Linked DNA regions of Nothobranchius furzeri. The protein of the gene in region 3 purifies or fractionates together with the protein of the main gene of each other region. This does not show direct contact. Links are inferred from orthologs where the notes say so. Each region holds a gene or a part of one and is shown on either strand. Other genes may lie near its edges. The genes, in order: sprtn, pold1 and pold3.

Evidence for each region.
Region 1: the proteins of pold3 (region 3) and sprtn purify together in Homo sapiens (affinity purification with mass spectrometry; 3 studies listed by BioGRID, with this or other methods). This does not show direct contact. The link is inferred for Nothobranchius furzeri from reciprocal best matches to the Homo sapiens genes POLD3 and SPRTN.
Region 2: the proteins of pold3 (region 3) and pold1 purify together in Homo sapiens (co-immunoprecipitation; 8 studies listed by BioGRID and IntAct, with this or other methods). This does not show direct contact. The link is inferred for Nothobranchius furzeri from reciprocal best matches to the Homo sapiens genes POLD3 and POLD1.

The regions. Positions count from the first base shown.
Region 1 is NC_091742.1:10,760,385-10,764,651, forward strand, and holds sprtn (DNA-dependent metalloprotease SPRTN), read right to left. Parts: upstream 2,837-4,267; 5' UTR 2,648-2,836; coding exon 2,316-2,647; intron 1,931-2,315; coding exon 1,831-1,930; intron 1,737-1,830; coding exon 1,608-1,736; intron 1,533-1,607; coding exon 1,241-1,532; intron 1,152-1,240; coding exon 418-1,151; 3' UTR 198-417; downstream 1-197. Other genes in the region: exoc8 (exocyst complex component 8), read left to right, coding at 3,474-4,267. UniProt on the Homo sapiens protein: DNA-dependent metalloendopeptidase that mediates the proteolytic cleavage of covalent DNA-protein cross-links (DPCs) during DNA synthesis, thereby playing a key role in maintaining genomic integrity.
Region 2 is NC_091752.1:51,279,742-51,283,389, reverse strand, and holds part of pold1 (DNA polymerase delta catalytic subunit), read right to left. Parts: intron 1,491-3,648; coding exon 1,343-1,490; intron 363-1,342; coding exon 267-362; intron 178-266; coding exon 40-177; intron 1-39. UniProt on the Homo sapiens protein: As the catalytic component of the trimeric (Pol-delta3 complex) and tetrameric DNA polymerase delta complexes (Pol-delta4 complex), plays a crucial role in high fidelity genome replication, including in lagging strand synthesis, and repair.
Region 3 is NC_091751.1:39,611,959-39,616,080, reverse strand, and holds the start of pold3 (DNA polymerase delta subunit 3), read left to right. Parts: upstream 1-1,216; 5' UTR 1,217-1,311; coding exon 1,312-1,368; intron 1,369-1,747; coding exon 1,748-1,803; intron 1,804-2,012; coding exon 2,013-2,112; intron 2,113-2,198; coding exon 2,199-2,238; intron 2,239-2,367; coding exon 2,368-2,500; intron 2,501-2,579; coding exon 2,580-2,826; intron 2,827-2,916; coding exon 2,917-2,977; intron 2,978-4,122. UniProt on the Homo sapiens protein: Accessory component of both the DNA polymerase delta complex and the DNA polymerase zeta complex.

The DNA.
Region 1 (4,267 bases), on a different chromosome or scaffold from region 3:
CAATAACTCTGCAGCTGAGTCCAAGTGAAGGTGTACAAAGCAAAAAGCAAACGGAAGTGAAATGTTAGCAGCAGAGATCTGTCCTCTGGAGGAAGCATCAGACATCAGAACCCAAAATAAACCCAGTGACCTTCAGAAGAACTCTACTCCCTCTGCAAACCTCCTACACCTCAGACAAAGAGGGTCTGACTACATTATAAACTTATTTATTCAAGTAGAAACCAGCTTTAAAAACATTTTAACAAAACCCTGCTGTTCTGTAAATGCAGTTGAGGCACAAGCTGTCAGAGAGCCACTTGAGTTAGAAAATACCTCAATATTACTGTCAAGTGACAAAATATCTGTTAAACTAGAGATTAAAGCACAAAACAGACATCTAAAACTTTGGTTCGTAAAACCATTTAGTTTAAAAGTCCTTCAGAACAGGCAGGAATCAAGATGCTCATTTATCTTTGACTCCTGGACTTTAGTTTGGCACACGGGACAGCTGACCATCAGCACGTTGGCGGCGGCGGAGGGCGTGTGCAGCCCTCCAGGGGGTTGAAGTGATGTGGAGGAGCTGGAAGCTGCAGTAACAGCTGATTTGGTCTTTTCCTGCTCCCTTGATGATGCTGAACTGCTGCTTAATGTCTTGTCAACAAAATCAAAAATGGTGGCCGAGCTGCTGCAGTCATCCCACAGCCTCTCCCTGGGCGCCTGACCTTGGCTCGCTGCCCCAGGTGTGTCGACACCGACAGAGGAAGAATTTGGAGACATTGCCGCTCTTTTAGTCTCTGAGCCTGAGGGATGGCTTGTTGACTTTCTGTGAGTTTTGACATTGAAGAGATCGTGAATGGACCTCTGCTTGAACGCGTCGGCCCCGTGACCCCCAGAGCTGCTCCTAGATTTAGGAATTTTAACAGGTGAGCCGTTAATGTTTACAAAAGCTTTTGTGTTCCCGACAGACGTCTTTGCAGGTGGCTTTCCCCCTGAGGAGGCAGCTGCTCCACTGGAGACGGTTTTGGTTTGGTCAGGAACGGAAGACTTCTTAGGAGTGGAGGCGACGCTGGACGGAGGTGCTGAGGGAGATGTGGAGGTCTGGCACGTCGCTCCTAAGAGGAAACCTTTCCCACTGAATGGGATGATGTTCCTTATATCCTGAGATCCAGAACCTGAGCAGAAAGAAAGAAAGAAATGTTTTTGTATTTGGTCCTGATGGCAAATCCTGAATAAACTACTTAAAAAAATAGAAAAACTTCACCTTTACTTGTATTTAAAGGCTTGCCAGTACGTAAAGTCTTCTCTGAGGTGTTTGCATCCTTCTTCCCATCTTTTTTGCCTTTTTTCCTGTATCCTTCTGGCTCTTTGATCTTGGTGTACGTCCCGCCACACATCCTTTGATGATCCTCCCACCAAGGGTCCAGAGAAGATGGAGCTCGGTTGATAGCCCTCTTCACATAACCAAAGAAAGGCCTCCGGCTCTGGCAGGGCCCATTGCACCTCCACCAGTGCTGCCTGTAGACATCGACCTCATCATGGAAGCTGTGGTAGATCTGACCGAGGGACAAGAGGAGATTGTTATCGTAAAGTCAACCAAAACCACACAGAGCTGAAGGAGAAACACTTACTGTGATTTTCGTCCCACTGGCCTTGTTGATCCTGTTCATGTGTTTGCAGAACTCAGGACCGTGGCCTTCTCGGTCTCGGTTGTTCTGGGTCACAAACAGCAGTGCATGAATCATTTCATGAAGGAGAGTCTGTGGAAACAATCAAATTAACAAATTATTAGCAATAATCTGGATGAGGATTTTCTGTCTTTAAGATCCACTAATGTAAAGTGACCCATCCCACCTCCACCAGGTCTTTTCTGGGTCTCAGCTTCAAAAGAGGCTCACTGAGCCGGATGGAACAGAGTCCGCCTCGGCCTTCGTAAGAACACACACCAGCACACCTAGGTACGGAAACACACAGGAGGCATTTTCTCAAAACTCTGTTATTCCTGTAACACAGCGCTGGAGTGGAGGACATCAAAACAAGAAACAGGACACATTTTATACAATAGAGAAGGCCTTAACATTGCATAGAAGCACAAGGAAACCATAATAGAGCTTCATGAAACTGGACATTTTTTGCTTTTTTAGAAATTATGTTTGACATACTTTGTGTCAGATATTTAGTGGTACCCATTTGTTTAATCTTTTACCTTATTTTTCTTCAATAATGATGTTTTTCCAAGCATCTCGCGCTTTGTGGCTACCATATTTGAATCCCAGTAAAGCCAACAGTGTTTATAAACATCCCTGCTGTAGGAAATCTGGTGAACAAACAAAACTTACAGTGTCATTCTGGGGCTCCACTTCACCTCGACTCCGCTCAGTTTCCCCCAGAAGAACAGGCTATTAAACTCCAGAAACATGGCCCTCACATCTGGGTTTGGGTCCAGCATCTCCCAGGACTCATCCACGATGCTCAGGGGTTTCTCAGGCTCGTGACCCGGCTTCCAGGAGGGGACAGCAGCGCTGCCACCTCCGGCTGCTTCCACTTTCCGTCTCTTACTGCTTTGTTCGAAGTAATTATCCTCGAATCTATTTGATGAGGTTAATGACGTCTCGTACTCATTATCGAACTGCTCCTGTAATTTAATGGCAAGCAGGAAATCCGCATCCATGACATCAGAAGGCAGCTGTGCTAGCTTGTTAGCTGACTTGCTAATGTAAATAGCACGAAGTTCTGGAACAAACGACGTCTGCAGCCTAATTATAAAATCAACCTTTCAGAGAAACATCGGTAAAAGGACTGAAGTCATGACTTTGAAAGATGAATCTCATCTTCTTGTCAGCCAAAGGTATCTGTAATAATAGTCGGTCTGTCCACAGCTCGCGCCAAACAGCAGGTTTGCTACATGTACTACATTACAACGAGTCTCTTTCCGTATGAACTTCTAAATAAAAAACTACTTCAAACTTAATTTCGTGTTTGATTTGGCTTTCCCCGCTTAGTTTTGTATCTTATTTTAATCAGCAGATGACTAAAATTAGCTTGTTTAAACGCTGTTGAAAATCTGTAATGTTTCTGCAGCTACCGTAAACTTCCGGTAGGTAAATAGTTGGACAACAAAACACCTATTCCGGGTGTTGTTCAATAGCCCAGTAATCAGTAACAACTGCAAAATAACAACACACAAAAAGCAAAATGAGTAAATAAATAAACAGAAGCTTTAAAATAAAAATAAAACATTGTTTGGTTTACCTGAAAGATCAATAACAATTTTGTTCTGAGTTTTTGTTGATCATCCTTTTTGTTCTCCCTTCTCGTGACGTTCATGTGACGTTGACAACCCGGGTGTTGGAGAAGCCAGATCCTTTTGGGGTGTTGACCTGTTTTCAGCTTCCTGTGTTTGTTGACGTGGATATGAAGGCGCTCGTTCTCTGTTTGCGTTTCTCGTCAGTTTGTTAACAGTTTTGCTTAATAAGGAAACACGCAGACAACCAAAGATGTCGGAAACCGGGAACCGACTTCGGAAGCTGCTGGAATCGCCCAACTTCGATCCACAGAACTACGTCAAGCAGCTGTCACAGCAGTCGGATGGCGACAGAGACCTTCAGGAGCATCGTCAGAAAATTCAAACTCTGGCTGATGAAACGGCCCAAAACCTCAAGAAGAACGTGTACAAGAACTACAGACAGTTCATCGAAACGGCCAAGGAGATCTCCTTCCTGGAGAGCGAGATGTACCAGCTGAGCCACATCCTCACCGAGCAGAAGAGCATCATGGAGAGCATCACTCAGGCCTTACTGTCCACAGACAAGGACGAGACCTCCAAAGAGATGCAGGCAGCGTTCCCCAAAGAGACAGAGGACCTGAAGCAGAGGACTCTCACCTCACTGCTGGAGAAGGTGGAAGGAGCTAAAAACATCATGGACACCCCAGGGAGACACCTGGTCTACAATGGAGACCTCGTGGAGTTTGATGTGGACAACATGTCCCCCATCCAGAAGGCTCATGCTTTCCTGATGAATGACTGCCTGTTGATTGCCACCTGGCTGCCTAACCGCAGAGGCACAGTGAAGTATAAATACAATGCCCTGTATGATCTGGAGAGCTTTGCTGTGGTCAACGTAAAGGACAACCCTCCCATGAAGGACATGTTCAAGATTCTCATGTTCCCAGACAGCCGCATCTTCCAGGTGGAAAACAGCAAAGTCAAGAAGGAGTGGCTGGAGATCCTGGATGAAACCAAGAAAAAGAAAGCCTCCCAGGACAAACACAAGAAAGAGGAGGAGGTCCC
Region 2 (3,648 bases), on a different chromosome or scaffold from region 3:
CTCTAACGACGAGACCAACGTGTCCTGCTGAAGGCTCACCTTCTCAAACTCCAGCTTGATTGGGGGTGTAAAATGGGAAGACACCCAGGCAGCTGCTTCCCTCCCGATATCCATGGCCTCCTTCACAGTAGCAACTCCAAGCTTGACCATGACGGAGTCCGTGTCTCCGTAGATGACCTTACAGGAATTATTAGTAAACACACATATTTCAGTGTTTACGACACAAACAAGTCTGGTTTATCAGGAATCAGAGGCGTGTTCCTCACCTTAGCATCAGCGTCACAACCATTGGAGATGGTGTACTTGGACTCCACCAGCTGCTTGGTCCGCTCAATCATCTGTCTTCCAAAACCAGTCACACTCTGAACAACGGAGATACACGTCATCGGTTCAAATTCTGTTACCATTCTGGGAATTGAACTGTTGAAATTACATTTGTTTCACCCAGGATCAAAAGCACCGGCCTCTTTGAGCGTGATCAATACATCATGATTTTCATGGACTCTTGAGTTAGAAACTAGGGATGCGCTTTTTTCCAAACCGATACGATACTTGGATCTGAATACTCGCCAATACCGATTACCGATACCTATACTTCTAACACACAAAAAAATGCAATGATTTGGAATGCAGATTTTATTTTCTTCTCTGCCTTCAACAGGAAAAGACTGTGAGGTAGATAAAAAGTAAAATATATGAATGGAAATCATCACAAAACTAAAATATTAGGTGAACAGAAATGACAAGTTACAGTGAAGCCATTTTCAAGCAACTGCATTGGCATCGGTTCCTGGTATCGGTTAACTTTTACCGATACCGAGACCAGTATCGTATCGGTATCTGCACCGATACGGATACTATCGGTGCATCCCTATTAGAAACCATAATTATGCTGGTCAGATTTCTATTAAGACCTCAAACCAAAAGAAACGCTGAGTCTGTTTAGTCAAACTTTAGCATAAATAGGAATTATTTATTAAATGTCCCTGTTTATAGGATTAAAACAGCTGATATGATAACTTTTCTCAGGCCAGAAGGACACCGTCTTTTATATAAAGTATAAATACTTCTGATACAACTTTCTATGATGATTTATTTACAACAGCTCTTTGGCACCATTTGTTTACACTTCTGTCTCCACCTGCTAAAACAAAACACCTGTGGTGTGGTTTTTATTTAAATGCTCATCTTCACTCTGCATCCCCGTGGTTTACCGCTCAGGCGCCGACATCCCATCAGCGCACAACCGTGTGAGAGGGAACTCAAACAAGGGTAAACCCCAACCTGGAACCTGGAGTCCAGCTGTTCCACTCTGAGTGGTCATCACGCCCCGGGTGCTCACCTGTGAGATCTCCAAGCAGGGCAGCTTGCCCACCTGAGCCCCGGTGAAGCCGTAGACGGAGTTCGCACTGATTTTCAGAGCCAGCTGTCGACCATCCAGCACCTGCTTCTTAAAAGGGTCCGTTTCACTCTTCAGCTCTGCCTTGGCCCTGTGGACAGACGATAGACGAATCCAAGAAAGGACAAAACACCTGGAACATCTGGCTTAGTCCACAACACACACAGAGGATCAGAACCAATAGTTTTTATTAGGGGTGTAATGGTTCACGGGGGTTATGTGAACCGTTTCGGTTTATTTTTCCCGTTAAATAATGAACTTTTCACACAATCGCACAAATTAAGCGCAGATAAAAGTTCCTCGGGGAGTTTCCGCTCAGACGCTGTATTGAATGACGCATGATGGCTGCACGCGCCCGATCTCCGTTTAAAAAACGTGATCTGCAAATTCTGATCAAAGTCTTTCGGAGCGGATCAAACCAGTTGACTGTTGCAGCTGCAGTGGAGTCCGTGTAGAGACTCTGAGCACCGTGTCGCCTCTCCCTCCCTTCTCTCACAGTGTGCAGGCACACAGTGGCAAACATGTCTGCTGAACCTTTCCGCTGGGACAACTGATGTAAAGTTTTCATCCTACAAAGAAAAATACGGTGCGGAGGATGCTCGTTATTTAATATGAGTTTTAAAGAAGAAACTCTGCGGTGTGAGGTGAGCGTTTAAGAAATAAAAACATGTCAAACACAACACTCGTCTGTATGAGAATGAGCTGCGCCAATCATAGACATGAATACGTAGACGCCCCGTTGGGCGCTGGAGTGTGTAAAAGCGTCGCTGCCATGTTGGATGGGTCTCCTCACTCTCCAAAGTCAATGCAGAGTGAGCAACTATGCCCTTTTCCGTGCAGCCTACGGTTACAACAACCAGCGTACTATTGATAACAGATCACGTGGGATTACTAGTGACTTTTCTAGCCTACCTGATAGGATTTTATATTTAATATTTATTTTTAATTAATTATATTTATATTTTAATTAATTTTATCATGCCGTACCTTGTGTTTTATTTTGTGAAAAAGCTTGATAAAACGTGTTTTTTAGTTGGGTAAGCACCTTCCTCAGTAGAAATGAATGCACTGGGGGCTAATCTATCTAAAATGGCGGTTGGCCAATACGGCATCTCCAACAGGCAGCGACTGTCGACGGGGCATCTGTGCATGTACAGAGTATCTGCAGGTTTAAGGGAGCCAAATTTAAGACTTTTTAAGACCTTTTTTAAGGCCACTTTGACCAAATTTAAGCTACTTTTGAAATTAAATTTAAGCTATAATTTCTAGCTATTGCCTGGAACCGGTGCTAACCACATCGCAAAAGTGGGATTAACCATCCAGTTACCATCAAACTTGCACTTCCCCATGGCGCAAGCTACCACCAGCTTAACCAGCTAATGTGCTCATCTAAAAATAGTCCCCTTTCACAAGCAACTGAATGTGTACGGTTCCGCTTACGCCAACATCATACACAAAAATGCTGAACACTAACTAGAAATTCACAAAATTTAATAGAAACAAAATGATTTTGTTTATTGGGTCTTTGGTCATTTAAGACCTCTGGAAACTGTATTTAAGGATTATTTGTCATTTTAAAGGATTTTTAAGGCCTTAAATTTGGAAAAGCAAATTTAAGAATTTTTAAGGACACGCGGATACCCTGCATATATGTCTGTGGCGCAAATAACCTGAGAAGTAATTAAATACATCATGCTAGATTAGCAGCCTGTGATGACCCCTGGTTCTGCTCACTATAGGAGCCACTTCAGATATTAAATAATTAAATAAATCTAATAACCGGGCGACGGTGGCACAGGAGTTAAGTGCTCGTCCCGTAATCGGAAGGTTGCAGGTTCGAGCCCCACTCAGTCTGTCGCTGTCGTTGTGTCCTTGGGCAAGACACTTAACCCACGTTGCCTGCTGGTGGTGGTCGGAGGGACCGGTGGCGCCAGTGCTCGGCAGCCTCGCCTCTGTCAGTGCGCCCCAGGGCAGCTGTGGCTACATTGTAGCTCATTCCCACCAGTGTGTGAATGTGTGTGTGAATGGGTGAATGATTGATTGTGTTGTAAAGCGCCTTGGGGGGTTTCGAGAACTCTAGAAGGCGCTATATCAAATACAGGCCATTTACCATTTACCATTTATAATAATAATATACCGAAAATTAATCGAACCAAGCCCTTCAAAACACTGAAACGAACCGAATACGAGTTTAGCGTACCGTTGCACCCCTAGTTTTTATTGGAAGAAATGGGATCCTATGGAAATTC
Region 3 (4,122 bases):
TGTAGCCGCCGCCACGGCTGTGACGGGACCTACGGGCCACCGTAGAGGTGAAGGCCAGACTGTCCGAATTCAGAGCCGCTGACTTCCGATTTTAGCGGTCTTCAAGGACCCGGGCTTGCTAGACCGGCGAGGACCCGTACTCATAAGCATCCTTCCTGTGGATTCGGACACACCCAATGTACAGCTCGACCTAGCTCAACCTAGCTGGGGAAGTGTGACCTTTGGGACACAAAATGAGGCCATTCATATTGCTACATCCGACCTTCTATCAAAACTTATCTGAGAGGGTTACAGAAATGCACGTGTGCAGCAGACTTTCACTCCAGATTTCAACTTCAGCCATGTTATATTGACAACTGAAGTTGTAATCTCATTATGTGCAATATTGTGCAATGCTGCTAAATCCTGTCCATGTGGATTTGTTGCTCAACATCTGTAAAATTGACTGAGATATAAGCATTTATGTGTTTGATAACTGAGACTAGCTATCGCAGCCAAACGTGAGTTGATTACAGATTTACATCCAGTTATTATTTTTGGAGATTTTCATCAAAATGCAGAGAGGGAGTGCGGATGTTGCTGATTATTATTGTTTCTAGCACAGATGAAGGTGAATAATGATGAACTGCTGCTCTCAGAGCTTCATGCTTTTAATTAACCTGTCAAAGAGCTGCTCTTGTGCTTTGAATCTTTACTGTCTCATGTGACTTTTACAGTCATGTCAGTGGATTATGTCTAACAAACAATCTTCTCCTTCACACTTCTAAACTTCTATGCCTAAACAGATAATTAAAATCTCCTTTTGATGCTGCTGACCTCCTGCAGATGCTTCAGAGTTCAACTTCTTTTTATTCAGGATACTTTATCACCACTTGACTGGTCAAATGTTCAGTTTTTAAAGCATTTTGATCATTAGTAACTCTGTATGTTGTTGCTTTTATAAACTTTCTCAAAGAGGCAGGACAATTTAAGTCATCAAACCTTAGGGAAACGTTCTCACAAAGATTTTTGATTGAGACAGAACATAAATACTAATTCATGCACATATCTCTCAGAAAACAAAATCACTCATTTAAAATTAATAAACAAATAAATAAATAAAAGTGACTGATTTCAATTGTCATCTCTCCTCGTAATCGCTGTGAAAAGCTACTATAGCGCACATTGGCCTGTAGAGGGCAACCAGTAAATTTGAATTGCACCGGAACAGTGTCCGAACACGTGACATCTGACAGGAAGTAAATAAACTGGATTCCCGCGCAGTCAAATTACTTTAGCTAACATCGTCGATCGTAACAAATCCTGTTAAAAATGGACGAGCTTTATTTGGAAAATATAGACGAATTTGTCAACGACCACAACAAGATTGTAAGAATCATTTTGACCCGCGATGTGTCCGCTTGTGTTCAGCTTGCTTTGGTAGAACTTATAAAGGTTTAAAGTGGTTGAACGCGAACTAGCTTCGAGGTCGCTAGCAGCAAAATTACGCTGAAAATTCGGACTGTTGATTATCATACTGCTGTCACAACGGTATTCTATATAAAAGGCGATATTTATCACTTGCTGCGATTTTGGACAGTTGTTCAGGGTCATTCGGCTTTCAAACTACATTATAAAGTTCGTTTGAATTAACGATATGTGTTTTAGCTAAAGCTTTACAGCCACCAGTGGTGTTACACTAGGATTCAATAGCAAGAACCAGCTCATCATTACAGATAATATCTTGTATTTTCTTTTTTATTTTCAGGTAACTTATAAATGGCTGAGTCTCACTCTCGGAGTCCATGTCAACACAGCAAAACAGTAAGTTATCCAGTTTCTGCCACAAGTTTAAACATATAAATGAAAAAAATTAGATTTCACAGTTTGAGCCTAAATAATTATTGCATCTACAAGTTCATCACAAATATGTCAGATTCTAGTCTGAACTCCTAGCCGCTGTGGATTTTTTTCTGTAAAACAACTGTAAAAGTGAGCTGTTGTTGCTGATTGCATCTAAAATGTACTTTTAGGATGCTTTATCATTATTTGGAGAACAAGAGGAAGGAAAGCTCACCTGAGCTGCATGCTACCTATCTTGTCTCAGGGAAACTTGTCGACAAAGGTCAAACTGTGAGCAAAGATAACTTTTCTGGCTCTGACTACATATTTTTAAACAGGAGATAAAATGATTGTTACATGATTTATTTGCATTTCAGTGCCACAAGGTGTCAGTTGTCAGAGAAGACCAGCTGGAAGGTCAGTAAATGTTATTTCTCACAGCTTGATGAAGGATTTCCTGTCCTATACTCTTAAGATTTTAATTCATTGGATCAATTAAAAAGGGTGAATTTGTTCAGTTTATTTATTTATTTTTTCGTCCTGCAGACTTTAAATCCAAAATGAACTTGATAGTGAGTGTTCACATCTACAGCGTCCAGAAAGCTTTATTGAAAGACAGCAGCCCTCTCTACAATGTTGACTACGATGCTTTAAAGGACAATCTAAAAAACTGCAGCAGGTATGTTGGGTTTCCTTGCAGCTGTAAACATCTGCTTCTTGGGACTTGTCTCTAAACGGTTCCTTTATTTGATGTGTAGATACAGCGCGATCCAATGCTCCAAAGCTGTGCCGATGTCTCCTGTGGAGCTGCAGCAGGCACGGGAAACTGAGCGAGCTCCTGCATCGGCGCCTGAATCACAAAAATTGGGTGTAAGCAGCGGATCAAGCGTGGCTTCTAAACCATCGGCGAAGACCCAGAAAGGCATTGTGGCAATGTTTGCAAAACAACCTACACCAAAGAATCAGGAGAGCAGCAAACCTGAACAAAGAGAAGAATCACCCATGGTAAGATTTGTTTTTCTCTATCGTTTTCCAGTTAAACTGAAGGGAATGTGACATCTATTGAATTATTTTTATCTATTTGTTTCATTCTAGTTGGAAGTCCCCCCAAACAAACAAGCTTCTAAGACCAACTCAGTGGAAAACTTCTTTGGAAGTAAGTCCACATGACAATTGTAGTGATTCATCCTTTATTTACTCTTTAATATTTATTTCTTTAAATCATTTTAAACTGGTTAATATTAATTTTGTTTTTTAATTAGGGATGTCCCGTTCCAATATTGATATCTGAAGTAATTCGATATCGGCCCAAAATCACTGTATCGGATTAAATCGGACGGGATCAAAAATATCCGATATAGGGTTGTCACGGTAACCGGTATAGCGGTAAACCCCGGTAAAAAAGTTGACAATAAAAATAACCGTCCAGTTTTTAAAAAACTATATTATCTCGGTGGGTTTACCGTGGCCGCGGTTTTGGCGCGCTGACCCTTACCAGCCACCGTCGCTTCAGCTGAAGTTCCCGCGGCGCGCACACGCACTTTTTAGTTTGCAACGGCACCAAAACTTTGAAACTGAAATAATGGCCGAAGGAGGAGACGGCAGCGCCCAGGACATCCATCAGCCCTCAAAGAAGACTAAATCGGAAGTATGGGCATATTTGGGATTTCTGAAAAATGCTGAGGGACAGTTAATAGAAGACGGCTATCCCGTTTGCAGAACGTGCAGGAAACAAGTGTCTGCAAAAGGCAGCAACACTTCGAATCTAATGGCACATCTGCGTGACGATCACCCACGTCTCCACAGCCAGTGCAAGGTAGGTTAACATTAGCATTTTAGCTGAAATGCATGACGTGAGGACTTTTGGTTGAGGGAGAATGCAACGAGTCACTAAATACTGCAGCCGCAGCGTCCTCTGCCAGCATTTAAACCGTGTCACGGACACCCTGCATCTTATTTGTTGATGATGAAGAGAAATATACAATTAGTTCCTTGTCATTGATTTGTTTACTTATTCAATGCCATTTATACTTGAACGTTTGGATTTGATTACATAGTGTAGTAGTTATTTTAGTAATTTGTTTAAAGTGGCTATTTATTTTAAATACATATTTTTTAAAGGTTGACTTGTACAGTGCTCAAGTCAAGTGTGGACTGGAGTTTTAGATTTTCATTTTGATAATGAAGAAAACAAGTAAAAGAGAAAACAAGTGGTGTTTCTTTGATTTGTTTACATATTGTTTATGTTTTGAATATTTGGATTTGTATAATTTAAACCTGCACTGACTACTGTAACATGTT